Neurospora crassa OR74A: one gene and its partners. The protein of the gene in region 6 purifies or fractionates together with the protein of the main gene of each other region. This does not show direct contact. Links are inferred from orthologs where the notes say so. Each region holds a gene or a part of one and is shown on either strand. Other genes may lie near its edges. The genes, in order: NCU08595, NCU06272, NCU05235, NCU09380, NCU07839, NCU00925 and NCU07795.

Evidence for each region.
Region 1: the proteins of NCU00925 (region 6) and NCU08595 purify together in Saccharomyces cerevisiae (affinity purification with mass spectrometry; 16 studies listed by BioGRID, with this or other methods). This does not show direct contact. The link is inferred for Neurospora crassa OR74A from reciprocal best matches to the Saccharomyces cerevisiae genes NOP7 and RPF2.
Region 2: the proteins of NCU00925 (region 6) and NCU06272 purify together in Saccharomyces cerevisiae (affinity purification with mass spectrometry; 8 studies listed by BioGRID). This does not show direct contact. The link is inferred for Neurospora crassa OR74A from reciprocal best matches to the Saccharomyces cerevisiae genes NOP7 and RRP5.
Region 3: the proteins of NCU00925 (region 6) and NCU05235 purify together in Saccharomyces cerevisiae (affinity purification with mass spectrometry; 12 studies listed by BioGRID, with this or other methods). This does not show direct contact. The link is inferred for Neurospora crassa OR74A from reciprocal best matches to the Saccharomyces cerevisiae genes NOP7 and RLP24.
Region 4: the proteins of NCU00925 (region 6) and NCU09380 purify together in Saccharomyces cerevisiae (affinity purification with mass spectrometry; 4 studies listed by BioGRID, with this or other methods). This does not show direct contact. The link is inferred for Neurospora crassa OR74A from reciprocal best matches to the Saccharomyces cerevisiae genes NOP7 and PUF6.
Region 5: the proteins of NCU00925 (region 6) and NCU07839 purify together in Saccharomyces cerevisiae (affinity purification with mass spectrometry, with the first as the bait; 3 studies listed by BioGRID). This does not show direct contact. The link is inferred for Neurospora crassa OR74A from reciprocal best matches to the Saccharomyces cerevisiae genes NOP7 and DBP2.
Region 7: the proteins of NCU00925 (region 6) and NCU07795 purify together in Saccharomyces cerevisiae (affinity purification with mass spectrometry, with the first as the bait; 4 studies listed by BioGRID). This does not show direct contact. The link is inferred for Neurospora crassa OR74A from reciprocal best matches to the Saccharomyces cerevisiae genes NOP7 and RRP15.

Annotation. Positions count from the first base shown.
Region 1 is NC_026501.1:9,517,966-9,521,578, forward strand, and holds NCU08595 (ribosome biogenesis protein), read right to left. Parts: upstream 2,198-3,613; 5' UTR 2,096-2,197; coding exon 2,082-2,095; intron 2,016-2,081; coding exon 1,907-2,015; intron 1,837-1,906; coding exon 1,514-1,836; intron 1,444-1,513; coding exon 864-1,443; 3' UTR 501-863; downstream 1-500. UniProt on the Saccharomyces cerevisiae protein: Required for biogenesis of the 60S ribosomal subunit.
Region 2 is NC_026503.1:2,145,392-2,149,606, reverse strand, and holds the start of NCU06272 (mito ribosomal protein S16), read right to left. Parts: upstream 2,801-4,215; 5' UTR 2,639-2,800; coding exon 2,180-2,638; intron 2,122-2,179; coding exon 1-2,121. Other genes in the region: NCU06271 (hypothetical protein), read left to right, coding at 3,767-4,054, 4,129-4,215.
Region 3 is NC_026504.1:5,664,218-5,667,573, reverse strand, and holds NCU05235 (ribosome biogenesis protein RLP24), read right to left. Parts: upstream 2,120-3,356; 5' UTR 1,970-2,119; coding exon 1,894-1,969; intron 1,810-1,893; coding exon 1,205-1,809; 3' UTR 501-1,204; downstream 1-500. UniProt on the Saccharomyces cerevisiae protein: Involved in the biogenesis of the 60S ribosomal subunit. Ensures the docking of NOG1 to pre-60S ribosomal particles. Activates and recruits ATPase AFG2 to cytoplasmic pre-60S ribosomal particles.
Region 4 is NC_026501.1:3,514,632-3,518,809, reverse strand, and holds NCU09380 (pumilio domain-containing protein), read right to left. Parts: upstream 2,801-4,178; 5' UTR 2,626-2,800; coding exon 2,388-2,625; intron 2,313-2,387; coding exon 511-2,312; 3' UTR 285-510; downstream 1-284. Other genes in the region: NCU09381 (RWD domain-containing protein), read left to right, coding at 3,187-3,253, 3,325-3,941. UniProt on the Saccharomyces cerevisiae protein: RNA-binding protein involved in post-transcriptional regulation. Component of the ASH1 mRNP which transports the ASH1 mRNA to the distal tip of the bud, where the ASH1 protein is translated and targeted to the daughter cell nucleus.
Region 5 is NC_026503.1:1,036,299-1,040,268, reverse strand, and holds the start of NCU07839 (ATP-dependent RNA helicase dbp-2), read right to left. Parts: upstream 2,801-3,970; 5' UTR 2,097-2,800; coding exon 1,981-2,096; intron 1,843-1,980; coding exon 623-1,842; intron 103-622; coding exon 1-102. Other genes in the region: NCU07838 (hypothetical protein), read right to left, coding at 3,130-3,181, 3,518-3,693. UniProt on the Saccharomyces cerevisiae protein: ATP-dependent RNA helicase involved nonsense-mediated mRNA decay and ribosome biogenesis through rRNA processing. Associates directly with chromatin, correlating with transcriptional activity.
Region 6 is NC_026501.1:6,705,681-6,709,841, reverse strand, and holds NCU00925 (pescadillo), read left to right. Parts: upstream 1-1,430; 5' UTR 1,431-1,558; coding exon 1,559-3,550; 3' UTR 3,551-3,661; downstream 3,662-4,161. Other genes in the region: gpit-2 (glycosylphosphatidylinositol transamidase 2), read right to left, coding at 1-773, 856-1,009; NCU00926 (hypothetical protein), read left to right, coding at 4,029-4,161. UniProt on the Saccharomyces cerevisiae protein: Component of the NOP7 complex, which is required for maturation of the 25S and 5.8S ribosomal RNAs and formation of the 60S ribosome.
Region 7 is NC_026505.1:268,821-271,873, reverse strand, and holds NCU07795 (DUF1665 domain-containing protein), read right to left. Parts: upstream 1,874-3,053; 5' UTR 1,705-1,873; coding exon 679-1,704; 3' UTR 501-678; downstream 1-500. Other genes in the region: NCU07794 (2Fe-2S iron-sulfur cluster binding domain-containing protein), read left to right, coding at 1-239. UniProt on the Saccharomyces cerevisiae protein: Constituent of pre-60S ribosomal particles. Required for large subunit rRNA maturation, in particular processing of the 27S pre-rRNA at the A3 and B1 sites to yield 5.8S and 25S rRNA.

The DNA of each region.
Region 1 (3,613 bases), about 2.8 Mb from region 6:
ATCTCGAGTCTTAACTCTTTGGTGGGACTGGCTTTAGTCTCTTTATAGACAAGCATAAGGAAGCCATCATTGATTGATACAACTCTGCTCTAACAAACACAATTTCTGGTACAGGCATTTCATTCATAACCTTGTAGTCAGTCAACATATACACTAATCAATCGTTCTCGGCATGGATATTTGGTTTCATAATTTTGTACTAAATCAGTCTGCAGACTGCCTCACCGACACCCCTTATAGACGTTTCCAAACCAAAGATCGAAACAGGGAATAGTTCATAGGTTTTCCTATGGTTGTACATGATTATGGCATTGTCTTTTTTCTATGATTATAGATAGTTGCAAGGTAGCAAGGTAGCAAGGTAGCAAGGTAGCAAGGTATCCAGGTAGAAGAGGGAAATAGCATGAGTGCCATGTGATAGTAGGCAGCGAGTGCTGACAATACTAGATTCTTCCAAACAAAGCTGTAGCGGCAAATTCGGCCGGTCGATCGGTTGATCCTATGGTCCCATATGTTGGTTGGTATAAATATCACGTATATGCTAGATAGATGTCTAGGTCTACAAGCTTTGGCAAGGCAACTTCACGAACAACCCATCATCCATCAATAACTCCAGCTTTGGTCATCTCTTCTTTTCTGTTGATGATCTGATCTGGCATGAATGTTCATCTTCCCCAAGAGCAGCAGCAGCCAATGATATAAGATAAAGTAAAGTAATAAAACTAAAAACTCCCAAAAACGCCTTGTGTCTTGGTGGATGATCGCAACAATTGTGAGAGAAAAAAGATTAAACCTCCTCCCTGCCTGCCTTCTTCTTCATCCCCTCAACCCCTCATTCTCCCGTCTCCCTACTCTTGCTCAACTCAAAACTCAACGACATCCCTCGCCTTCTTCTTCCTCGGCCCCACGATCCTGTCACTGACCTCCTTGACGCCCTCCATCGGCATATCCGCATCATCAAAGTCCTCATCCACCACATCCCTGCTCCTCTTGAGACCCTTCATCTTTCTCGTCTGCAACTCGCTGAGATCCAGCTTGCCCATATGGATCCTACCAATCTTGTCACCGATGCTGTCCATGCTGATGTTCTTCTTGGTGCGCTCCTCGTTGGTCTTGGGCTTGCGCATCGCAGCCTTGAGCATGTCCGCGTCGGGCTGCTGGAGGCGACCGAGGCGGAAGTCCATGCGGGGGCCGTGCTCCTCGACTTCGACTCGGGGGAGCTTCTGGCCGGAACGCTTGGTGCGGATCAGGTAGGCGCGCAGGTGGAGGGTGGGTTTTGTCGAGGGGTCCGAGGGATCGGTGGAGGAGGAAGTGGGCTCGTCGGCGGAAACGACAACGCAGTACTGCAGACCCTCAACGTCGATCTTGTCTGAGGGCTCGCCGCGGAAGAAGTCGATGAGCATGGATTTGGCGGTGGTGAAGGCGTTGGGGACGGGGGATTCGCTGTGGTACTCGGTTAGCTGACGTTCATTCACTACTCCTTCCTCTTTGTCACAAGAATCGGGGGACATACAAAGCAGTACCGGCGAACACCATCAAAGGCTTGGTGCCTACGGGCACCTTCTTGGTCTTGAACTGGGCAATGCTGCGGAAGGTCTCGGGGTCGAGGTAGAACTCGAGCATGTCGAGCATCTTGTAGTCGAAGGTGCGGCAGAAGGTGATGGTGTGGGGCCTCTTCTTGCTGCTGGAGCCGAAGAGGATGAGCGAGGTGTCGTTCTTCTCAGAGAAGAAGGTCAGGGAGCTGGCGTCCTCGAAGGGGTGGACGGGGTTCTTCTTGTGGAAGCGCTTGGCGTGGGTTTGGCGCAGCGAGTAGAGATCTTGCATGGCATCTTGGGTCTGCGGACTGTATTAGATTTTGATGATACCATCATATATAGGAGGAGAGGATATGGAGGAGGTGACATACGACTTGGCTGCAGGTGGTGCCGCGAAGGAAGAGGGCGGTCTTGGGGTTCTCATTGACCTTGGGGGCACGCTTCTCGAGCGCCCTCTTGGAACGGGCTGTCCGCGGCTTGCTGTGCGGAGAAGAGAACTGTCAGCTAATGTTCGGTATGTTCCATTGTCATGATCGATTGACGTACACTTGGCGGAGCATTTTGGCGGTCTGGTTATGCGATGACGGTAGTGGGTGGATTGGATAGGTACCGCAAGGTGGTGATGTGGACTGGGGACTGTCTCCTTCACCTGCAAATCGTCGTCGTGATGGTCGAGCAAAGAAATTCCAGAACGGCGCTTATCGATAAGAGGAGACCTTGAACTCGAAATTTTGTGGGGCAGGTGGGGTCAAGATTGTCCGCTCGTCCACTGGGCGCTGGCTTTCCCCTGCCTGTCGTTCAGGGGTTCACGGGCTGTTAGGTTCCATTCCATTTCACGCCTCAACGTCACTGCAACGGCAACCAAAATCATTTCCATTTCTGCCGTCTCATCACAATTAGGTTGGTGATGGAGTCAACCTTGAGTTCCATATTCTTGTTCTGATCACTCGATAATCACTTGCTCTTTGGGAAACAAGCATTGAGCAATATGATTGCCAAGTCAGCAACATCACAAAACTCTGGCATCACTCTTACAAGGTCAGCACACTTGAGAAGATTCTGAATACACGAAGCCAACATATTGGGATGGTGTTCTTCTACACTTCGGGTTCACAATACAGATTCCTTAAAACCGTTCTACTCTGACATAAAACCAGATTTCTCCAGTCATTGCTCCCGGCGAGCATCAAGAATGCTCTCATCCACCTACTACGGACCTACCTGGCCTGTCGTTCTCTAACACCATGAAGCAGTTCAGTATAGCTTCCCTCCTCTCACAATGATCTATTTCGCCATGTCCCCTCTCTCTCTCGTGGTCGTCTTGACTGGACCATAAATGTAGGATATCCATCCAACCTGATGAGACTCCCCGGTCTCTTTCCCCATCACGTCCAAACAGCCCATACCCATCCCATCCATACTTTGCATGTATCGTACAACCTCCGGAACGCATCCCATTCACGTGGTGGCTTCTTTTACCGTTGTTCCATGGATCCTCGGCACTCCTCCTTTCACCGCCTCCGCCTCCGCCGTCACTAGGTATGTATGCCATCGGGAAGCTACCTACCTACTTTTCAACGGTTTTGAAAAAGGGCGATTGCATTCTCGTCAAGCCCAGCCCATGCCACTGAAACTGAAACTTAAACTGTCCGCAGCTGTATGTATGTATGTACATGTGGAGTGTTCGGAGACTCGGGCATTAGGAATGCATTTTCGAAAAGTTCTATGCAGTTTCCCGCGACTGAGAAGCCTGGGATGCAAGTAAACTGTCGTGACTCGTGAACTCGTTGGAAGCATGTTCCCGTGAGGGTGTGGTGAGAGAAGGAGGTTTGGATGCGGGTTGTTCCGTGCAGGCGCTCGGGCCAGAGACTCGGACTAGAGAGGTAACTAATATCGTGAGGTTGATGGAACGAGTCTTGAAGACGGGGGGTCTCGATGATGGTGGGCTATCATGGTACGATCATCCTGAAAAGGTTTTGGTCGTTCACGGCTATGTTTCTTCAAATGGCGTCAAGAAAAGTAATGGCAAAAGGCATTTTGTCGCTTGGTGATGGGGTTCTTCGATGAACAAATCAACA
Region 2 (4,215 bases), on a different chromosome or scaffold from region 6:
CAAGGCGGTCAACTTGCCACCGAACTGGACGAAGACAGCCGTAGCAGTGATGTTGCGAATATAACCAGAAACCTCATCTCCGACGCGAGCACCATCAAGGGTAGTAAGGAACTTGCCTTCCTTGCTAGCCTTGACAAGGCTGGGCTTCTGGGAGAGAATGATGGAACGGCGAGCCTCGTTCTTTTCCAAGATCACCAACTCGGCAAGAGTCTGGTTGACGTGAATTTTCTTGAGGGCAGACTGAGTCTTGCTGACCGACTTGTCCGTCAAGTGAGCGACGGGGAGGATGGCCTTGAGAGAGCTATCGGCAAGCTCAACAAAAACATCGTCGTCAGTTTTCTGCGTGACCTTAGCCGACACCACATCACCGATCTGAAGCTTCTTGAGGGCCAACTGCTTCTCAAGACCAAAGGCAGATGGGTCCTTGCAAGAAACAATAAGCTTGGCGGCATCGGGGTCGAAGCTGATGACGTAGATGCTGACAGTCTGGCCAACGCGGAAGTGCTCCTTGGGATCCTGAATGTAGGCCTCGCTCATCTCAGAAACTGGCAAGAAACCACGGAGCCTGCCGTAGAACTGCACAATCGCACCGTGCTGCAAGACGTTGATGATGGTACCGAGCGCCTGTTGGCCAACAGCAATTTGCTCATACGATTGGATGGCAGGAAGATCGGAATTGACGAGCGTCTTCTTGAGAGTAAGGCGGATCTGGCGAGAGGCAGCGTCAGTCGAGAGCACACGCGCCTTCACCTTCAGGCCTTCCCTGAACTTCTTCTCGGGGTTCTGAAGGTGAACGTCAGCGAAGTGCATCTCGGGGACCAAGCCAGAGATACCGTCAGCAATCTTGACAATAAGGCCACCAACACCGGCGGCGTTGACCACCATCTTTTCAACCACACCAGAAACAACTGCACCGACAGGAATGTCCTCGATGCGAAGGAATGGCTGCTCAAGAACACTCTTCTCCAAGGAAATGAGATACATGCCATCAAAGGCGTTGTAGCCGACAACCCTACCAGCGTGAACAGATCCCACCTTATAGGGTCCGCTGTTCTCGAAGAGGGCATCAACCTTGCCATCCTTGACGCGGGAGATGTGCACAAACCCAGACACGCCCTCGACACCAACATCGACGTAAAGACCGATCTCAGGCTCGACCTGCTTAACGGTGCACTTCTCCACGATCGTCGAGTGAGGGAGAGCCTGCAATGGCACCACTGGTTGGTCGTCCTTGGAAGCAGTCTTTGGCTTCAACGAGGTAACGTGTTTTAGTACAGAGATACCCAGCTTGGGGTGCTTTGCAGTAGGGAAGTTGCAGATGACTCTGGCCTTCAGACGAGAGCCGACCTTGTATGTGTCTTCAAGATCGATGCCATCCGGACCAGCGCCAGAGTGAACCAGATCAGCGGTGACATCCAGCGATCCCATAATCTTGCCAACAATTCCGTGGCTGGAAACCTCGGACACGAGCACGTCGGCGGCAGTACCGGGGAGGAATGTGTCGATGGTGGTAGCAGTCGAAGGGACGTTCTCGACGTTGCCCATGGTTTCACCCAATGTGGACAACTGAACGACCTTGCCCTTGGCGTTCTTGGTGACGATACAGAGGAGGACGGCACCTGGCTGCAGAGCCTCCTGGGGGATGCTCTTGTCGACCTGCTTGCGAGCAAGGAAACCTTGCAACTTCGAATCGGCGATCTCGATGTCCATAACATAACCGTGGTCCTCCACACTGGCAATGGCGGCCATAACTGTGCTGTTCACAACAACGTCTTGCTCCGCCATACCGGTGTTGGCGAGAGAAGGTTGAAGGGAGAGTTCGATATGGCGCTTGGCCTTTCCAGGGGTGTGTGTAGAAGCCTCGTCGACCGTCGATACAACGTAGGCGCGGACATACTGGCCGATCTGGAAGAGGGATTCGAGGTCAACGTCGTTGTCGTTCTCGTCTTCTGACTCTTCGGCATTGTCGTTACCGGCGCTGGCCTCCAAGCGTTTTGTTAGGGGGGCGGAAATCGCAGTGATGGGGACATGGCCGATAATATTGTTGGGTAGAGCAACGGCGATGTCGAGAGAGTTGATGGCGCAGACGGAACCAAGGACCAAGGAGCCCTTTACCAGACGCTGCGGACAGTTAGTACTTGGATGATAGGACTGAACCCATGAGTGTTCCGGCGCATACCTTGAAGTTGAGACTTTCAACCTTGACGGCGTCCGCATCGGGCTTCGCGGGTGTGTCGTCGGACTTTGACCTCTTCTTGGACTTCTTCTGCTTGCCCTCCTTCTCACCAGCCTTCTTGGCGGTGGCCTTGCTGGATTGCTCCTCGAACAGGGCGTCGTTCTTGGCCTGGACTTGGATTTGCTTGTATTCGAGAGGTGTCAGGATGCTGGCGCCGCCTCTGGGGAACATTGGCTCCTCTTCCTTGAGCAGCGTAGATGTAGCCGGGGCGGTAGGAGCAGGAGGAGCAGGCTTGTCGGACTTGGGAGCCGGCTTGTTGCCCTGCTTGCCCGTCTTTGCGCCCGCCTTGCTGCCGGCATCGTTGGACTTTGGTCTCTTTGACGGTCTCGATTCGGAGGCTGATTGTGTTGATTTGTTGACTGGGGCGCCGCCCGGGCCTTCCTTGCGCTTTTGCGCACCCATTGTGAACTGATGGGTATAAAGAAAGGACCTGATGGATGGACGGATGTGTTTGGAGTTGCAATTGGAGAGATACCCGCACTGGATCCCTCGTCCCTTTGCCCGCCTTCACACTTCAGAATGAATCGACAAGCACTGACAAAAACTGACCCAGGCCGCTTCCACTGTCCGCTGCCGAAAATTTTTGGTGGGTCCGTCGCCGTTCACCGTGGCCAGATAACGATAAGGAATGCGGTGAGCATCGGCTACGATTCTGCCATCTCTAGGTACGCGGGCCGCGTGCATGTCGGTTCGTTGCGGGTTCTGAGTCTTGCGGGGTTCCCCTGTAGGGGTACTAGCAGCGCCTGTCTTGTGTCCACGAGTGCCACGGCGTCAGCTGACAGGACGCTGTCACGTTCATGGCCAGGTACGTACCGAACCTTTTGCACGGGCGGAGACGGGCAGCCAACGGGCCAGCCGCATGCGTTGCAGGGAAGTACACGGTAAGTAGAGGTAGGGTACTGAAGGCCGTTAGGTACCTACACCCTAGAGATAGAGGGGATTGCTGAGAACGTGCTATCAATGAGTTACCTATTGGCCATTGCGAGGTACATATAATTCTCCAAGGCGGGATGTACAATTGTCTAGAGGTACCTACCTACACTTAACATGTCGTCTGATGTTAGGATCGTACGGTATTGGAATATCATTCTAGTCTGATGGAAGAATGAATTTGATACTACACTAGACCATCAAGTAGGTACTTGTAATAACATCAGCATTCGTTCACATGGTCCCCCTCTCCAGGTAATAAAGTGTAGGTACTTCGTTACCTATCCGGTTCCCCTGGACTGTGCGCTACCTGGCAAATGACGTACATGCATCCGAGCTGGAGCCTTTGATAATGGATGAAAGCGCTCCCTCCCCGCCGGCGGTACCCGTGTAGTGTAAGTAGAAGTACACATCGGATTTGTAGCCTGAGCGGTGCCTCGTCGGCTTGTCGACTTGTCCCTACGGTATAGGCGCCACGCAATACTCGTCGCATGCCCATTTTCGATCCTTTCAACTTGACGAAATAAACGGCAATGTGGCCAAAGTTTGCCCTATAATCTTAGGGGACTGGAATCTGTTAGGTTGTTGGCCTTGCTCGCCATGGTCTTCACCATGGGTCGTCGAAAAAAGGCGAAACCAAACCCTCCAACCGAGCCGGCGGATGGTAGTGCTGTCACCGAGTCCTCAACGTCCACATCCGATATGCCGCCGAAATCGTCCTCGAGCCTAGCAGCCTCTATATGGCGTTCAAAAGCCGTTCCAATGCCGACCGCTTCGAACCCACCTTCGTCGACGACGACCTCGACACCTGATAATGCTCTATCAACATCCCAGCCCAATGCGACCGCAAATACAACTCCTATTTCGAGCAAGCGAGGGCTGAAAGAGGTAGCCTATTTCTCTTCAGCCACCATATCCAGCCTGTTTAATGCCTGTTACACCCGATGCTAACAGACTCGCAGCCCCAGAAATCTCGGAGTTGGTATGGCTCATGGCCACGCAAATCGACACCCTCGACACAAGTCGCCCGTGAAACAATCATGGGCGGA
Region 3 (3,356 bases), on a different chromosome or scaffold from region 6:
ACAGCAATGGGGATGATGATCATGTTGACGATGTTAACGAGGTTAACGATATAATGGGGTAAATATATGATGAGAGAATGAGATGGAACTTGATGATGATGATGATGGGGGGTGGGGGGAGGGAAATAGAGGTGGGTGGGCTAGACAACCTGACAAATGGGGAAGCAAACTATAATGAGAAACTTGGCTGTGCTTTGTGCTTACGGTTTGGCTGGCTGGCTAAAGCAAGGCGATCGGAGCATTAGCATGCGAAGGAAGGGGTTGGTTTGGTTTTGTCGGGTCTTAACGCTTATAATAATACAAATGATAAAAGATATAATACTTTGTATTTAGTTACCGACTTGAACCAACTGTGTCTTTTAGGTGTTGTTTAGAGTTGTTGTGTTGTCGACTGAGTGCAAGATGGAATCAACGAACGGGTAGTAGTCCAAGATTGACCTTGGATATATCCTTGGCTAGGATACCTAGTCAGGTCTCGAGCTACAGAGGTCAGTCACGTTGGCAGAAGACAGAAACGAGTAACTTGTCGAGTCAGAAAGTACTGAGGATTACTACTATAAAACAAGACAAGACATGGCAGAAAGAAAAAAACAAACAAGTACTTCATATTGTGGGTCTCCCCGTGTCTATTAAACGCCAAATTCGCCGATTCCAATAAAACCGAAAATATGCTTTGCTACTAAAGGTAGACTGATTGATCCCCCCCTTGAAAACCATGGTTCTGAATATAATGAATCTTTCCAATGACCTGTAGCGACCAACGACCAACCAACCAAGCAAGGGGTATAAGCAAGCCCCGAAAGCAGCCATCGCTCGGGGGGGAGGATTGTCTGTCTGTCCAAAGCCACAGTTACTGTTTTTACAGTTAGAGTATTGGCTGTTGGTCAACCAATTGCTGTCTGTCCTGTCCTCTTTCTGGTCGTTCCGTCTTTATACACCAAGACCCGTTCGTCGTAGTTGGGCTTTGTTGCTGGTGTCAACTAGGCAGGTCTCAGTGGCGAGGAAAGGCCGCCGAAAAAATACAGCAGAACCCTCCCCCGCATAGGGATATCGACAGCCGCGGGAGCGAGTTCGTCCGAAGAAAACAAGCAAACAACGAATGATCCCGAGAAAAGAGGTGGCTGGTTTCGGTGTTGGTGATGGTGGTGGTGGTGGTTGGCGGTGGTGGTGGTCGCGGTAGTAATAGTTACAGAGACTCGGGCGCTCAGTCGGTATCCATCTCGTCGTCATCGTCCACGTCCTCGAAATCGTTCTCGTCATCGTCATCCTCATCGACCAAGCCTCCACCAGCGACGCGCTCCGAGATCTCTTCCACGCCGCCGTCTGTCCTGACACGGAGCCTCTTGACCTCGCCGCCAAACGCCTTGGTCTTCTTGCTGGCAGCCTTCTTGGCCAGCTCCTCGCGCTCGAGCTCCTCGACGTCCTGGCCCGTCTCCTGGGCGAGCTCGGCCAGCCTCCTCTTCTCGGAACCGCGCAGGCGGGGGAGGAGGTGCTCGTTCTCGGCGACGAGCTTGCGGGCGGCGGCGACCTCGCGGGCGCGCTTGCCGGCCATGCGGCGCTTGTAGAAGATGCGCTCGCGGCGCTGGCGGATCTCCGAGATACGCTCCATGGCCTTGACCGTCTTGGCGAAGAGCTCGCGGTCGTAGCGGACGGGCACGTTGCGGCGGGCGGCGAACTGCAGGGTGCTGTCGACCACCATCTCCTTGCCGGCGTTCTTGCGGTAGGCCTTGGTCCACTTGAGCTTGCGGGGGTTGCGCTTCATCTTGAAGTTCTTGTGGCATTTGGAGCGGCAGAAGCGGAAGGACTTGCCTGTAACATTAGTTGTACCCTGGTTAGCAATTGGCCTTGACGGAGAGGTTGATGATGGGGAACTGAAGTATGACAAAAACATACCATCGTTACGCATAAAGGTAATGCCCTTGGAGGGCCAGGCCGGACGGCCGCAAAAGAAACAGGGATCGACACGCATCTTGACGGGTTATGTGGGTGGTTGTGGTGGTGGTGGTGGTGGTGGTGGTTGAGGAGAGAAGCAGCGAGCCGGGTGAGGATGGGCTCGTTGTCTGTTCGGGAGGGGGGGGAGGAGAGGGGGAAGCAAGCAACAAAGTCAACAACAGCGAAACGGTCAAGGGCGCCGCTTCTGAAAATTTCTGGATGTCGGTGTTGGAAAAGTAAAGTGGGGCGGAGGGGACGCTTGGCTTATCTTAGCGCTATCGTGCTATCAGCCGACAAGACTCGGGTTAGGGTTGAGCGTGCATATACGCCAGCCCAGACGGTTCTTTTCTCTTGATTTGACAATGATGGTTCCCGATGATCGATTCCTCGATGTAAGTTGGCCGGCAATTGCGGCTGCTTACTTTCGATGCTCTCTCGACAAGCGATGGCCATGATGCTCAAGTCGACGGGCATGTTTACTTTTCCCAAATCAGTATATTCCCCGATCCATCCAACAATACTTCTTGAGCTCACGATCTTTTCGCTTCGCGACAATGTTCAGTCACCAAGATGGCATTGGTTTCTGTTAACAGGACTCTCGCGGACCCTAACATTGCTAGCTCCACTCTCTTTCTTTCCCATCAGTTACTGCTAACGATTAAAGTCTGACACCCTCTACAATGTTCAACACCGGGTATCATCGGTGTTCGTGACTGCAATTTTTACCATGTCTGAAGAATCTATTCGAGTTACAACTGAAGGCGTCAAGTTCTTCTCGGAGACTGTGGCGAAATCGGATCTTGAATTGTCTGTCATTTCTCACAATGATCAAGACCTTCTGTGATGGAAACTCCGTCGGCAGTAGGCCAGTGTCTGTTGAAGGTGACTACTTAGGCTTTACACAAAAAGAGGTCTTCCTTGACACTTGGTTGATATAACGCATCTCCGTCTCTCAGATTGAACTTGAAGTGCAATGGACTTTCCTCACTCCTTCCCCAATCACAGTGCTCCTTTCATCTCACTCACAGCGGAGTTGAGGGTCGGGTGCTGACCGAGAGCCCCATCAGATCCACAGCGCTAACTCAAAGATGCGGGGACGGAATCCGGGGAAAGCGTCAAAAGTGGAGTCGGGTTCCCCTGAGGCTCCACCAGACTAGCTCCTGCCCTGCGACAGTAAGGGTCCCGAGATCGTTCTTTCCTGATACAAACCGTACACTAAGTATAGGAAAGTCAAGATGTCGCTATCTCTTTCCAGTTTCTTGTCGGTAATTATCCCATGCGGTTCACCGTAATCTTCCTTCTCAAACTTGGTATCTACTGAAATGTACAAAGGATCAAAATTACAAACCCAACACCTACTGCTTCCTCCCCCAGCCACAGCACACGCGCACCGGACCACTCCTCGCTCCGTGGTGCCATTAGAC
Region 4 (4,178 bases), about 3.2 Mb from region 6:
TATTCGGTTTCCAAGCGGCACTTAGCCATCAAGTGACGGTGAACCCGATATATGTCGGTCTTGGTGCCGCAGTCAAAATGTTTGCACAGCACTTTGCCTCTACACGCCATGTTGATATGGGGAGGTTGTGTCCCTCGAAAATTGTGGTACAAGTGGTTCAATGTGAAGGTCGTATGATAATAAGGCCTTCCAAGGTCCGGAATGGCGAATATAAGAAAGTTGTCTCGCTCCTGTCTGGTTAATTATGATTTACCTCACTCCAAGTAGGCCACGGCCTGTTTCAAGCGTCATATCTGAACCATCAGGGAAGTCTGGAAGCAAGCTTTTCTCTATGCAATCATATATAACATGTCCAGACTTGTAAACAGGGCTATCAGTCAACCGCAAATTACGCGGGGCCCAACAAAATCGCATTGACAAAGTAAACAACATAAAAGGGGTATTTAGTCAACCTGTGGCTACCGTCCACTTTTGTCACTATAGCCATGCGACGCCTACAATTTCCTCAACCTAGGCATCGAGCTTCTCTAAAAGGAGCTTCGAGCCCTGGTTGCCCTTGGGGGCAGAAGCATTCTTGCCCTTCTTAGCCTTTGGCTTCTCCTCCATCTCTTCCTTCTTCGACGCCGGTGCTTCAGTTGCGGCCTTGATAAGGGCCTTCTTGTTGGACTTGAGGGTCTTGAGGAGCTCCTTCTTCGATGAGAAGTCGGAAGCCTCGAGCATAGCTAGCACCGTCCAAGAGCTAGGGCCGGTGGCCCATTGTACAATGTGGTCCTTGATGACGGGATAGAGAAGGTCGGCGAAGTTGAGCGGGGGGTCGACCTTCTGGATGCTGCCTGTGGCCTTGTCAAACCGGCCGCCAGCAATCAGTGTCTTGAACATGCGGCCACCGTGAATGGTTGTCGAGATGTGAGGGGGAAGAGCTTGGTAGGCATCCTTGGGCGCCTCAGCGTTGGGATCGCCACCGGCAGTAGAGGCAATAGCCTCCAACGCGGCCTTCTTATCTCCAGTCGCCGAAAGCAAAACATCAGTAACAAACTGGCAACCGAAAGAGGTGGCCACCAGGTCGGCGGGTGAGCTTGCGATGGCCGCAAGGAGCTGAGGCGACATGGCCGTCACCAACTCCTTACGCCTAACCTCGGCGTCCTTCTTGCTGGTCTTGGTGCGGATCTCGTGAATCTCCTTCAGAATCTCCAGGTCGGTGGCGTGGCTGGCAGGGAACAACGCTTTGGACATTCCCTCAAAGAGATATAATACCGTCGTGCGCGCGTTGAGGTCGTTAGCGAGAAAGATGACGTGCTCGGCATCCTTCTCTTCATTCTTGCCAAGAATCTCGGAGAAGATCGTCTTGGACGTGAGGACAGTGTCATCAAGGAGATCGTAGGCGGCGAGGATGATCGCGTGCGCGTGATTGTCACCACTCATGAGCTGGTAGGTGTCCTTGTAGGCCTTGAGCAGCTGCTTGCGGTCCTTGGCGGTTCCGTGCGCAAGGAGCAAGCACACGAGGCGGGCGCCAGACTTGGTGAATGCCATGTTTTTGAGCAAGTCGCCGGTCTCATCCTCCTTAATAGTCTCAAAGAACTCCTTGAACTCTTCGCTTTCGGGGTTAAGGTTGAGGAAGTACTGCAACAGAGCGTCGTGGAGCATGGTGAAACCAGTCATTTTCTTTTGAATGAGGCCATTGGCCATGTCAAAAAGGTACTTCATCGCCGTTGTCCTCTTGCTGGGCTCGTCAGCCAAAATCTTGGAGAGATCGCCAGTGACCTCGGTACCCTTGGGTTGCCTAAACAGAGCAAACTCGGGACCGTACCACTCGCGAAGGAGGTTGGCCTTTTGCTCCTTGGTCGCAACACCGCGGTAGACATCGTCCAGAATCCAGGAACCCTCAGCATGGTTGATGAGCTTGCGAACTTTGCCGTAAAACTCGGGGACGATGATGTCGCGGATCTCCTTGTCGTTCTGCACCAGAAGCTTGCCGATCAGGAACTTGGCATACCTGCTCTCGGCGAGCTGCGCATAGGTTCCTTGAAGTTCCTTCGCAATCTGCCTACGCTGAACCGGGGTGGCGTACTTGACGGCGGTCTGGACGGCACGGACAGCATCGTGCTTTAGGACAAAGTCCTTGATGCGGCCAGTTATGATGGTGAACAACTCCTCAACGAGCTGTTGGCGCTCCTCCTTAGGCACATGCGACTTGCGACGGAGCTTCTCCCACAGCTTCTTGGTACGGTGCACCTCATCGGCCAGTGGCTTCGCGTTCTTGCGTTCTTGGGCGAGTTGTTTTTGCTTGGCGTGCGCCTCCCTGGAGCTTGTGCCTGCGTTGTGTTAGTCAAATAACAGAGCGAGGTTCGGTCATCATGGGGCAGATATGGTAAAGAGAGACAACGTACCAGACTTGGTCTCGTTGGAGCCATTGCCGGACTCATTGGGCGTGGATGTTGTGGTCTCTCCTGTGTGGAACTCGGCGTCTGAGCTTTCATCGGAGGATTCATTGTCTTCGGCTTCGGCCTTGATGTGTTTCTTGCCAGAAGTGGTCTTTACTGCTTTTGTACGGCCATCCTCGTTATGCTTGCCGAACGCCTTTCTCTTTCCGCCGGCAGCGGCTGCTGAAGACGACTTGGTCGCCATTGATGCTATGCGATGTCTGTGTTGCTCCGGGATATGAAGGATTGATCTAGGTATGGGGGGCTCGTGTTGACGTCGTACTGGGTGGGCGCTGGTTCAAAGGTGATGGTCGAGCAGGAATATGTGAAAGTGCAGGTATTCAGACGGGAATCCGAAACTTTGGAGTGCCCTGTATCTGAAGCCTCTGAATTGGAAATTCTGTAGCACGTTTTCCGCTGAAAATTTCTGGATCCGCATCCTGGCATCTGCCGGGCGGTGAGAAGCTTTCCGGGGTTCTGTGGTGGGGCGACTTGATCGACACTGTCTAGAACTGTCCATTGATATAACAAGGAACCCAGGCAGGACCCCCACCATAGATTGAGCCGCGCTCGCGTTTTGGAGTTTGGCCTGCACCTGACGCTACAGTCACTGCAATGCCGTCTGGTTGCCCCTCCCGTCCTCTTCTCTAGGTTAGTAAACGCCTGAAAGTCAACATTGCCAGCACCCACTTTTGGAAGGAGTCTTTCACGTTTTATGTCGTCCAGCACACTGCAAACTTGAAAGGCGCCCTACCGATTGGACATCATGGGCCGCGAAGAACAAATTGAAGAGAGGGAAGTCCTCGACTCCATCTTCCCAGATGAGATCCAAGGTTCGATTGTTCGCCCACATCGGTTGCCGTTCAGGCATGGGCCTGTCCTAACCCAAGCTCGACTCGTCTAGATATCTCCGATACCGAATACCGGATTACTATCACGCTGGACATTCCTGATGATGATGCCGAAGAAACACCAAGCATGGTACTTACCGTACGGTACCCCGAAGACTATCCCGACAAGCCACCTTTCCTTGAGCTTGCGTCCGCCCCAAATGCGCCGCCCCATCAGTACATAAACATTGCCGACGATCGGTTCCAGCTGCTCGAAGGTATCCAAGAGACAATTGAAGAGAATTTGGGGATGGCCATGATCTTTACTGTTGTGTCGGCGTTGAAGGATGCTGCGGAGCAACTGGCAGTAGAGCGGAGGGACGCTGCCATCAAGGCGCAAGAGGAGGCCGCCCTTGCCGCGGAGCGCGAAGAGAACAAGAAGTTCCAGGGCACTCCCGTCAATCGCGAAACCTTTTTGAAGTGGAGGGAGAGTTTCTTGCAGGAACTGGAAGATCAGAGAATCAAGGAGGAAGAGGAAAAGGCGGCCGAGATGAAGAAGGCAAGGATAAAGGAGCCTGTCAAGCTCACGGGCAAACAACTCTGGGAGAGGGGCTTGGCTGGGAAGGGTGATGAGGACCTGGAAGGCGATGATGACGTCCCCGTGGAAGAGGTCCAGAAACTCACGGTTTAGGACCGTTAGACAAATCGTAAGCCCTCTATCACGTTCGCCAAAATTATCTAATTCTTTGCTGTAGGCTTTAATCCGCTCTAAGTATACCTAACCCATGTGAAAACCAATCCTGAACATTACTTTTTACCCCTCTTAACCGGACTCCAGGGTATGCCATAACAAGTTTGCCTGAAAAAGACGCCTCAGCTTAAGGTGGTATGGTTAGAAGACAAACGAGACGAAGCCAGTTGGGGCCAT
Region 5 (3,970 bases), on a different chromosome or scaffold from region 6:
TACCCTTCGCACCGGCACGACCAGTTCGGCCGATACGATGGATGTAATCCTCGGAGTTGTTGGGGTAGTCATAGTTGAGCACGTGAGTAATGTTGCGCACATCTTTTTTTAAAGGACCGTGGTTAGCAATAGCAGGGTTTGGAATAACGACATTCCAGAACGGACGGAGAACACGAATATCTAGGTATGTTCTGTGATCCTCTGGTAGTACTTCTCTCCTTGGCAGGTGGGCTGTCCATTGCGAAAAATATGCCGGGTTGGGATCCAAGGTTCCAGAGATCCTTGGGCCATGCATGCAAATCCCCTTGGGAATCTTGGAGACAAGCTTGACGGGAATCAAGAAATGCCTACTCCTCGCTTGTACCACAACTGGGATAAAAAGGTACAATTGAAGAATCACGCGGGCGTAGCATAGTCCACTGTTTCTGCTACGTCACGAACCCAAGACTCCACTCAGATAGACCAAGTCGACACGAGGTCAGGCAAGTTCGCGCAATCAAGAGAGCCCCTAGACATAAGAGTAAAGCACAAGCACGTACGTATGCTGGAAGTCGCCTGAGATGGGGGAGAGAAGAAGGGGGGAGGGGTTTGGGCAGGGCGGAGGGGTAAGATGGATACATACCGATACCACGAGAAGCCACGTCGGTGGCAACCATGATAGGGCTCTTGCCAGTCTTGAACTGGTCCAAAACCCAGTCACGCTCGTTCTGTTGCTTGTCGCCGTGGATGGAAAGAGCGGGCCAGCCGTCCTGGCGGAGGAAGCGGGTGATGTCGTCGGCGACACGCTTGGTGCCGGTGAAGATGAGGATCTTGTTCTGGTTCTCGCGGCCCTCCATAATCTTCTCAAGATGCTTGATCATGCGATCACGCTTCTCGGACTCGGAAACAACCTCGACGATCTGGGTGATACGGTGGTTGGCAGCCAAATCCATGGAACCGATGTTGACCTGGATGAAGTCGGTCAAGAAGTCGGCGGCCAAGTTGCGGACCTCCTTGGGCCAGGTAGCAGACCACATGAGAGTCTGACGATCAGGGCGAATCTGGCCGATGATCTTGCGAATTTGGGGCTCGAAACCCATGTCCAACATGCGATCAGCCTCATCGAGGACAAGGTAGGTGACACGACGGAGGTTGGTCTTGCCAGACTCGAGCATATCGATCAAACGGCCGGGGGTGGCGATACAGACCTCGACTCCCCTGGAAAGATCGCGAATCTGGGGACCCTTGGGGACACCACCGTAGACGCAGGTGTTGCGAATGCGGGACGACTTGCCGAACTTGGAGATTTCTTGCTGAATCTGGACAGCCAACTCACGGGTAGGGGCGAGGATGAGGACGATAGGGCCATCGCCGGGAGCGAGGAGAGGCTGAGCGTTGATGTGAACGATGGCGGGAAGGCAGTAGGTGAGCGTCTTTCCGGAACCGGTCTCGGCAATACCGACGACATCGCGACCAGAAAGGGCCATGGGCCAGCCCTGCGACTGAATGGCAGTAGGAGCAGGGAAACCCTGAGCCTTGACCTCGTCCATAACGTAGCGAGGGAAACCAGCCTCGTCGAAGGTCTCGACAGGCTTGGGAACGTTGTTACCGAAGACGGCAATGGAGTGGTCTGCGCGGAACTTGTCGACCTCAGCAGGAGATCGGTTGGCGACGCTAGGATGCTCTTGGTAGAAGGACTTCTCGAACTTGGGAAGAGCGCTCATGTCCCAGTTCTGCTTCTGCAGACCAGCACCGAGAGCAGACATCCTATCACCGCCGCCACCACCACCGTAGCCGCCGCCTCCGTAGCCACCACCACCGCCGCCATATCCTCCGCCGCCGCCTCCGTAGCCATTCGAGCCACTGTTGAACCAGATGTTAGCAATTTGATCTTGAAATGCAAAGAGAGAGAGAGAGAGAGAGAGAGAGAGAGAGAGAGAGAGAGAGAGAGAGAGAGAGAGAGAGAGAGGAAATGAGCAGGTTCGCGCTAAAACATCATACCCGTGTGAGGAGTAGTTGTTAGAGTAGCCGCCGCCATTGCGATCGTACCCGTTAGAATATCCACCACCACCGCCACCGCGGCCACCGTAGCCGCCGCCGCCGTAAGATCCGGACATGTTTGCTGGTTGTTTAAGAAAAGGTTGAAAATTGAAGATCGGTTGTTATTGGGGTTGCTGAAGGGTAGACCGAAACGACGAGCAAACAAGGCCTAGAGGCGCAAGGGTATCGATTGTCGGGAAAAGAAGACGTCGGAAAAGACAGACGTCTAGAGACAAGAACCAAACGACACGCGTGAAGTGGTTACAAGTAAGCAGTCCGACTGGTTAAAGAAGGATCGCGGATGAAGAATCTTGCAGAATCGCAAGAAGTAGGCGGGAAGGGATATTGGAGATGGAGGGTGGGTGGAAGGAAGGAAGAAAAGGGCTGCTGCGAAGGGTGAAGTGCAAGTTTTTCTGGACGGAAGTCGAAACGAAAAAAACTCTGGGGGCACTGGACAAGGACCCGTCACGTAAGGTTAGTATGGGAAAAGAACCTGACCAAAGGGAGATGTCGATGGAGGATTGGTGGGTTCCGCTGTGCAGTGCTAGTGGATGTGAGATGCGGATCCTGTGCCAGACCCGACTCGCCTCCAAGCGGGAAGAAAAAGTCTTTCTTTTTGTTGGAGGCGGAAGGCGCAACGCGTCCCTTGCGTGCAAGTGCCCCAGAAAAATATTTTTTTTTTCTTCCCTTCCCTTCAGTTCACTGCAGTCGTTACAGCGAAGGCGGATTTGAGGGGACCGGGCATTGCCGTACCTGTCCCCCAGACTTCCATGTAGGGGCGGTCTGGCACCAGAGAAAAAAAAAACTGGACCCGACTGGCAACACTTGGCGGGCCTGCATTCTTTCACTGTTGACAAGCACAGATAAGCACAGATAAAGCGCCGATAAGGCATGTGTGGCCTTATCAATCAGGCAGAAGTCCACCTTTGCGGGAATTGGCGTCACCTGGTTCACCGACTCCGCTTTGCCAGAAGGGTTCTCGTTCTTGCTTCACTGGCGGATTATGCTTGGCAGTCTTTGCTGCGCGTCGCGGTTGTTGGGCAATCATCCGTCGTCGCTCACCTCAGCTGTCAGGGAACGGAAAAGAGAATCTGTAATCTTGACCACATTCTATAGGAGTTGCCTGTTCACATACATGTCCATGCTCGATGCTAGCATGTTTCTACACGTGTATACAGCCGTACTTAGGCCTCATATTGCCATCCATCTCCCACCTCATCTGAAGACTTTGGGAGCAGCAACTTCCAGTCCGTTCCGCAGCCGACCAGGATGTACACTACTGCGTACACAAAGAGTGGCAATAAATCCATCACCACCGCCTGGTCTAGTCCACCACCATCAGCCACATTCTCTCAACACAAACCACCACTTCCATGTCCTGAAACATTTTTCGATCACTACACTACTCACGACCTTCAAGCCCCTTCCCTGACTTGCCCTCTTGGTTTCTTTCGGACAACAGCAATCTCTCCGTCCCCTCCAAACTCCCAAAACTTACTCATCTTCTCCTCTCCGCCCCAACTCCTCCACCTCCTGATCCAAACGCTCCAGCACCAGCAGACTAAACGCTTTCTCTTTGCTCCTGCAATTCTTCAGGTCCTTTTCGAACTGCTCCATGCCCAAGTGAATGGTACGGTGTTGCTGGATTAAATCATGGTTCGCTGCTTCTTCCATGTCCTCCTTTGGCCCCCCCTGATACTCTTCTTCCGTTTCGCTTACGATGCTGATGCTGCTGCTGATAATGATGACGACGTTGACGATTATGGGCCTTGATGGCAGCTCTCAATTGAGGCATTTGCTTTGCTATAAGGAAACCATGCAAGTCTTTGATGGATTGGTGAGCTTTTAGGTAGCGAGTGACGGAGCCCGCATTCTATGGGTTGTCGCTCAGTCAGTGCTGCTGTGCCTTGACTACCGTTGTCACAGGTACAAGCTGTGTCGAGCGTATTCC
Region 6 (4,161 bases):
CTGCTGGCGAAGGCGCACGCTCAACCCGCCAACATATGACGACAAATGCAGCCAAAAGACGGCCAAGAAGAATGAACGGAACGAGTCGAACATCTCGACAAAGAAGTACCACCACAGGCCGATATTGGGGGCCAGGTCAGACAGTGTAAGTTGCACACCATAGGTGGAACTAAGGAACTCCCATGAGCCGGTCAGGAAGAACGACATTTGGAAAAGCACTGCCAGAGCACCAAACGCATCCATAACCATGGTCGCGGTAAACTTGATCCACGCATTGGGCGCTCCGGTAGCGGGCAACTTCTGCCTGTCATAGCAAAGAAGAATGAGAGGCGGGAGGAGGAGTAGCGGATACATGGAGAGGTATGATGCGAAGGCTAGGGCGACCATGGCGTGAAAGGGTCTGCCGGAGATGGCATTGGCGACGGCGTGGAGAATGGCACAGGTCGTGAAGACGGTGGTCGAACGCCCAATGCATGTCGCGATGGTGAAGGGGTTGAACAGGAAGAGCGCGGCAATGATGGCACCACTCCAACGCTTGTCACGGCGCGGGGAGGTGAAGCGCGCAGACGAGCTGGCCTCGCCAGACTCTGCAATCCTTAAAAGAGCATGGGCGCTCAGAATATCGATAGCGATGTAGAGAAGGTACGTGAAGATGGGAAACGCCGCGAAGCTCGGGAGCAAGTTGAAGATGGGCAGCAAGAGGGGCGCCTGGTGGTAGACGCCGCCATCGTAAGGAGAGACGTTATGGTTATACAGGAAGAGGCCTTCTTGGACTAGATTTTGGTAGTTAGCAAACCTGTGTTCCTCGAGACGATGCGACGAATGCCGAAGAGAAAAACAAAAGCTACAACATACGGCGCTTGAAGCTTGTTACTGGCGTTGAGATCTCGACACGGCCAGTCAGGAGGTCTGGAAGACCGGGGAACAGAGTAAAGAGGGCAAGTCGCAGGACGGCAGCACCGGCGTATAAGCCAGCCGTCCTCCTCAACGTTACCTTGCCGCCATTCATTGTTCAATTCGCCATACGACGAGGTGGGAGCTGTGATGTCGAACTTGTCCCAGGGTCAAGTTACTTCTAACGACATGCCCGTCCAGTTGCGCTATACAGGAGTCGCGCCCAGCACGTTAGGTCGCCTTGTCAATCGCTGTCCCCGCCAAAGCAGACCGACAGCTGGCCCGGCCTCCACAGCTGGCGGGTCCCTGTGGGACAAGGGGTTCTGGAATCCAATCCAGACGGGAGCGGGAACCTATCTGGGCCAGACGGGCCCAGTATGTATTCTAGTAGCCTCATCTGTGCCTATCTGATGCCTCCCGTCTTTCCATCCGCTACGTTATCTTATCTTTGATCAGCTCAGGCGGTGGGAAGTGGCATAAAAAGTTCAGGACCGCGAGGGTCAGAAAAAAAGTTGATTGCAAGTGCACAGAGCGCCCCCACCTACAATTGGCTTCGATAACGATCGAGTCTGCAGACTGAAGAGATCCATCCTTGGTCCTCTTCTCCTTCTCTCACTCTTCCACCTACACCCAACAACCACAACCACCACCACCACACCCCAAAATGCCAAAAATCAAGAAGAAGGGCCAGGCCGGCGCGGCCAAGAACTACATCACCCGCACACAGGCTGTGAAGAAGCTGCAGCTTAGCCTTCCCGACTTCCGCAAGCTTTGCATCTGGAAGGGTATCTACCCGCGCGAGCCTCGTAACAAGAAGAAGGTTTCCAAGTCGGCCACTGCCTCGACCACCTTCTACTACACCAAGGACATTCAGTACCTCCTCCACGAGCCCCTTCTTCAAAAGTTCCGTGACCAGAAGGTGCTCGAGAAGAAGATCTCCCGTGCTCTTGGCAGAGGTGATGTTTCGGATGCCGCCCGCTTCGAGCGCCATGCTGCCCGCCCCGAGGCCACTGGCAAGCCCAGGTACACTCTCAACCACGTCATCCGTGAGCGCTACCCGACTTTCAACGACGCGCTCCGCGATCTCGATGACTGCTTGTCCATGCTCTTCCTCTTCGCCAACCTCCCTTCCACGAGCGCGGTTCCCGCCAAGATGATCGCCCGCTGCGAGCGTCTCTGCCTCGAATTCCAACACTACCTTATTGTTTCCCACAGCCTGCGCAAGTCGTTCCTGTCGATCAAGGGTATCTACTACCAGGCCAACATCCAGGGCGAGGATATTCTCTGGCTCGTTCCCTACAAGTTCAACCAGAGGATCGTCGGCGATGTCGATTTCCGCATTATGGGCACTTTCGTCGAGTTCTACATGACTCTTCTTGGATTCGTCAACTACCGACTTTACAGCTCGATCGGCCTCAAGTATCCTCCCAAGTTCGACCAGCTCAAGGACGAGAACGGTGCTGAGCTCGGCGCTTTCTCTCTGGAGGGTGTCAACATGGCCACCCAGGGCGAGACCAAGGCCGTCACAAACGGGGAGGAACAACAGCAGGGTCCTGACCCCAAGGTCCAGGCTGAGGTTGACAAGATTATCAAGCAACTGAAGGAGGACGAGTCCAAGAGCGACGAGACTGCCGAGGAAGATGCCGAGGCCGACGATGAGGAGAAGCCCACAGACTCCATCGACAAGTTCGAGCCAGTTGCCCCTGGTGGTGATGTTCTTCCTCAGCCGGCGTACAGCAGCAGTGACCCTTCGCAGCTGTTCGCCAACTTCACATTCTACCTCTCCCGTGAGACCCCCCGCCAGCCTCTCGAGTTCATTCTTCGTGCCTTTGGCTGCAAGAGGATAGGCTGGGATTCCGTCCTCGGCGAGGGTGCCTTCACAAATGACGAGTCGGATCCCTCCATCACCCATCACATCATTGACAGGCCAGTCGTACAAGCCGCTACCAACGAGGATGGCGATGGCGAGGACAATCAGACGGCCCAGAAGGTCGGACCCAACCAGAGATACCCCGGCAGGATATATGTCCAGCCCCAATGGGTATGGGACTGCGTCAACGACGAGGAACTCAAGAGCCCTGAGCTCTATGCTCCTGGCGCCGCTCTCCCTCCCCATCTTAGCCCCTTCGTCAAGGCCGCCCCTGGCCAGTACGATCCTACTCTGCCCCTTGAGGCTCAGCAAACCGAGGCCGAGGCTATTGAAGCCGACCTCGAGGATGCCGAGAAGGGTAATGCTGAGGATGGTTCCGATGTCGAAAACGACATGGATGTTGATGAGGCCGAGGACGATGAAGAAGAGGAGGAGGGTGACGAGGAGGATGCCGAGGAGGCCGAGGAGGAGGATGCTGAGGAAGATGAGGAGGAGTCCAAGACCCTCCAGCGTCAGCTTGAGCTAGAAGCCGAGCTCCAAGGCAAGAAGGTGCAGAATACAAAGGTAGACTCCAAGACCAAAGCCAAGCTAGAACAGCGCAAGGCTCTTGAAAAGAAGGCACGCGAGGAGGCGGAGGACCTGGAGCGCGCCAAGGGCATGCTGAGCAAGAAGAAGCGCAAGCTGTTTGAGCAGATGCAGTATACCAACAACAAGAAGAGCGCTCAGGACGAGAAGCTCCGCGCCAAGAGGAGAAAGCTGGAGAAGGAAAAGGCGCAGAAGGCGTAAGGTTAAAACACTGGCAAGGCGTAATTTTTTAGCACTTTATGTTTTGAAATGGGATACCAAAGGCTCATTTTTCTCTTTTCTTTTTGTGTAATCGACAAGTTTTGAATCCTACTCGTCGTCCTGAACTGATGCAAATGTGAATAATCGTGACATGAAAACGAGCGCCCACGAGGCTTTCGTCTGAGGGTTAGGGGTCGCTACGAACCAAACCGTAACGCCCAAGAGAAGTTGGAACGAACCGAAAATAGGACCAACGAAAGGTGAGAGTACAAAGTAAAAGAATTGAGTGAGGAGTCAGAGGTTCATCAGTTTCTCCATCCTTGTTGCTGTGGTACTACTACTGGGATGCTTTCGTACGTCAGTGCGGTTCTTCGACCTTCAATCTCTTGTCACTCCCGTCCTTAGTGATTGATCACCAGAATTTGCACTCAACAACCCTGCCAACGCGGGAAGAGCACCCACTAAACTGGGCCATGCAATGTCTTCACACTTGAATCAAGAAGATTCCGGCGACGAGGATTGGGATAAGGACACTGAAGAGATTAATTCCATCGCATCAGATGAACTGCACGAAACCCGCCCCAATCGGTGGAATGGGGCCCCCTCCACAT
Region 7 (3,053 bases), on a different chromosome or scaffold from region 6:
GCGCCTGCGGCGGTTCCTGCGCGTGCTCGACCTGCCACGTCATTGTGCAGGACCAGGACATGTACGACCGGATGCCGGAGCCCGACGACGACGAGAACGACATGTTGGACTTGGCGTTTGGACTCACCGAGACGAGCCGGCTGGGGTGCCAGGTGCACATGACCAAGGAGTTGGATGGGTTGGTGGTCAAGTTGCCGAGCATGACGAGGAATTTGCAGGCTAGTGATTTCAAGTCCTAGACCGTGCCGTCATGGAATGAATGACATGGGATTGGGGGGAGGTAATATCAGGCGATGAAGGGTTGAGCATGGAGGAAGAAGAAGAAGAAGGTAGAGGTGAAGGGGCAGGGGATTCACTGTGGTGTAAAGAAAAATGGAGACGGACGACGGAATATATATGGCACAAACACGACATCTATTCCATTTCTGTCGGATTGTTGAGGCGACGGCGTTCAGCGCAGAGTTTATCGGATATCTGTGATGGGCAATGTTCATGTTGATGGATATGACGGATTGGCAAGAGCATGTTGACTGTTCATACTTCTGCATGGGGCTTGTACGTTGTTCAACTGTTTGCCCCAGATCAAGGGCACGGGGTTGTATATAAGAAAATAGCCTAGACCTTGACAATATGCAAACACAATAAACAATCACCCCTCTACACCAGAATGCAATTCCCTTAAGCCTCCTCCAAGCCACCCTTCTTCAACCCCCCACCACCGCTCGCAATCAAGTCCAAGAACCCTTTCCTCGACATCTCCGTAACCTTCTCTTCCCTCCTCTTCACACCCACGATTCCCTCCTGCCTCGCCGCCCGTTCCGCCTCTTGCGCCTTGACCTGCGCCGCCCTAACCGCATTAAACAGCTTCACCACACCCCTCTGCGCCGTCTTCTTCAGCCTCCTCTCCGTCTCCAGAATCTGACCCGTCGTCTGCTCGCCCTCCTTTCCATCCGGAATCTCCTCGATCTCGCCCGTCTGGATGTTGAGCGTCCTAGTCTTGCTAGGGACCAACACATCACGCACCCGACCCTTCTCAAAGGCCAGACGCTTCTGCTCGCGCAAACGCTTGCGCGCCTTGGCTTCGAGCGCTGCGTCGACCAGGGACTTGGCGGCGGCTGCAGACTCGGCGGAGCGCGCGACAATGGGGTCGGCGCGTCGCGAGGCGGGCAGCTTGGAGGAAAGCATTTTGGTGATGGAGGTGGCGAAGGCGTCGGGATCGTTGCGCTTGGATTTGGTTTGTCTCCTGTTGCCGTTCTCATCACCCGAGCCGTCGAGGTCGAATTCATCGTCGAGGTCGGAGCCCAGGTCGGAACCGCCGTCTAGGGAGTCGTCCTCGTCGTCTTCGGAATCTGGGGCGTCTTTGGCGACGAATTTGGGTTTTGTTTGCGACTTCTTGGAGGACTTGTTTGATGGTTGTTCGGCTTCGGAATCATCAGAGTCGGATGCTTGCTCTTCGTCTGTGGATGCGCCATCGTCGGCAACGAGGTTGTCTAGGTCTTCGTCGTCCGAGTCGAGGAGGTGGGCGGGAACGGCGGAGGTGCCGGCCTCCTCGTCGCTTTGGTCTTCAACATCTTGCTGCTCGTTGTCGGATTCCTCCTCTGAACTGCTGTGGTAGGCGGCCAATGCTTGCGCCTTCTGCTTCTTGGACGGTCGGACGGGCTTGCCCTTGCTGCTGGGGCCTTCTTTGCGCTTGGTGATGCCCATGGTTGTGATTGTGTGTGTGTCTGGTTTGATTGGATGTAGGTTGTATGTGAATTAAGCAGATGGAATAGTGGTTGTGTTTGGGATCGATTTGCCAGCTGATCAAGCCGAGGGGGAGAAATACGGGCAGAATTGTTTATCGCGGATTGGAGGTGCTGCCGAGATGGTCGAGGTTCGGAGTGCAGGTCCCTCCATTCGAAACTTCCCAATTGCTGAGGTGCTCTCCACTCAGAAATTTTTGGCGGTCGCGGCCGGCAATATGCCCTGCGTCCCTGTCCCTGTCTTGCGTCAACCCCACACTTGGTGGAACCAAGGGCAGCCCAGCGGGGATGAACGGTGGACCCGCTCTGCCGTCATCAGAATCACCCCTAACCCTAGTAAGCCGTGACTTCAACGGCTCAATTCGACGACAACCTCTTCCCATGACAACTCGACATTGACATTATCGAACAGTATGAAATTGTCTACGTGTTTCACATTTCGCGCTTTGGATCGATACGATCTCAAGCATATGGTCTCAGGACACGTTACTCACAAACGGGCGGCAGCGACGAGACCTAACAAAGTTGATCTGCCCCTGGACCGAACCTGAGCACCTCGATGAACAGCGGTCGGCATAATGTACAGACCTTTGTCTGAGCATGTTGCACTTCGGCGACCAATTGAATGTTGAAACTTTTGAACATCATTTACAGTCGAACGATGCATGACGATATACCTGAGCTCGATTAGGTAAGTAATGCACGTCAATTCCGGGTTTTACAGGTTAATTCACGTTGGACATACGCAAGCGGAACCTAGATGAATCCGACTGCCACCGTTGAATTGGTTCGCATTACATCGATCGCTACGGCTCCATGCACGATACCTCTTATCTTGCTGTACATACCTTCCTCTACAGAACACAGCTTCTGCCATCCAAGAGGCACGCTTCTGCAGTTACAGTACATGTACCTCCCTACTTTCCCGAGCCAGGTTTTCCTGACGGAGTGACCAGGTTCGATGTATTAGAAATCCGTGGAGCATCCAAGCTGCTACTGCCTGCCATCTCGCGCCATTTACTAGTAGGTAGTGACACGTGGGTGAGCGATTGGAGGAAGAGTATTGGATCGGTGCCCTCAGGTCCTGAACTTTGAGCTTCGCACCTTCCTGTCGCTAGGTCGCTTCTCCCAACTTTGCGTGTAAGTGATTGGGTCACGGTCTCATAAAACACCATTGCCATGGAGCAGAAGCAGTTCGATGTGAGCTGTAGAAGCAAAGCACGTCATGAACTTGTTCATTTCCAGAGATGGAACAACGCCAAGTGAAAAGGTGGGATATCAGCACACGGTTACGGGTTCGTCATGATATCC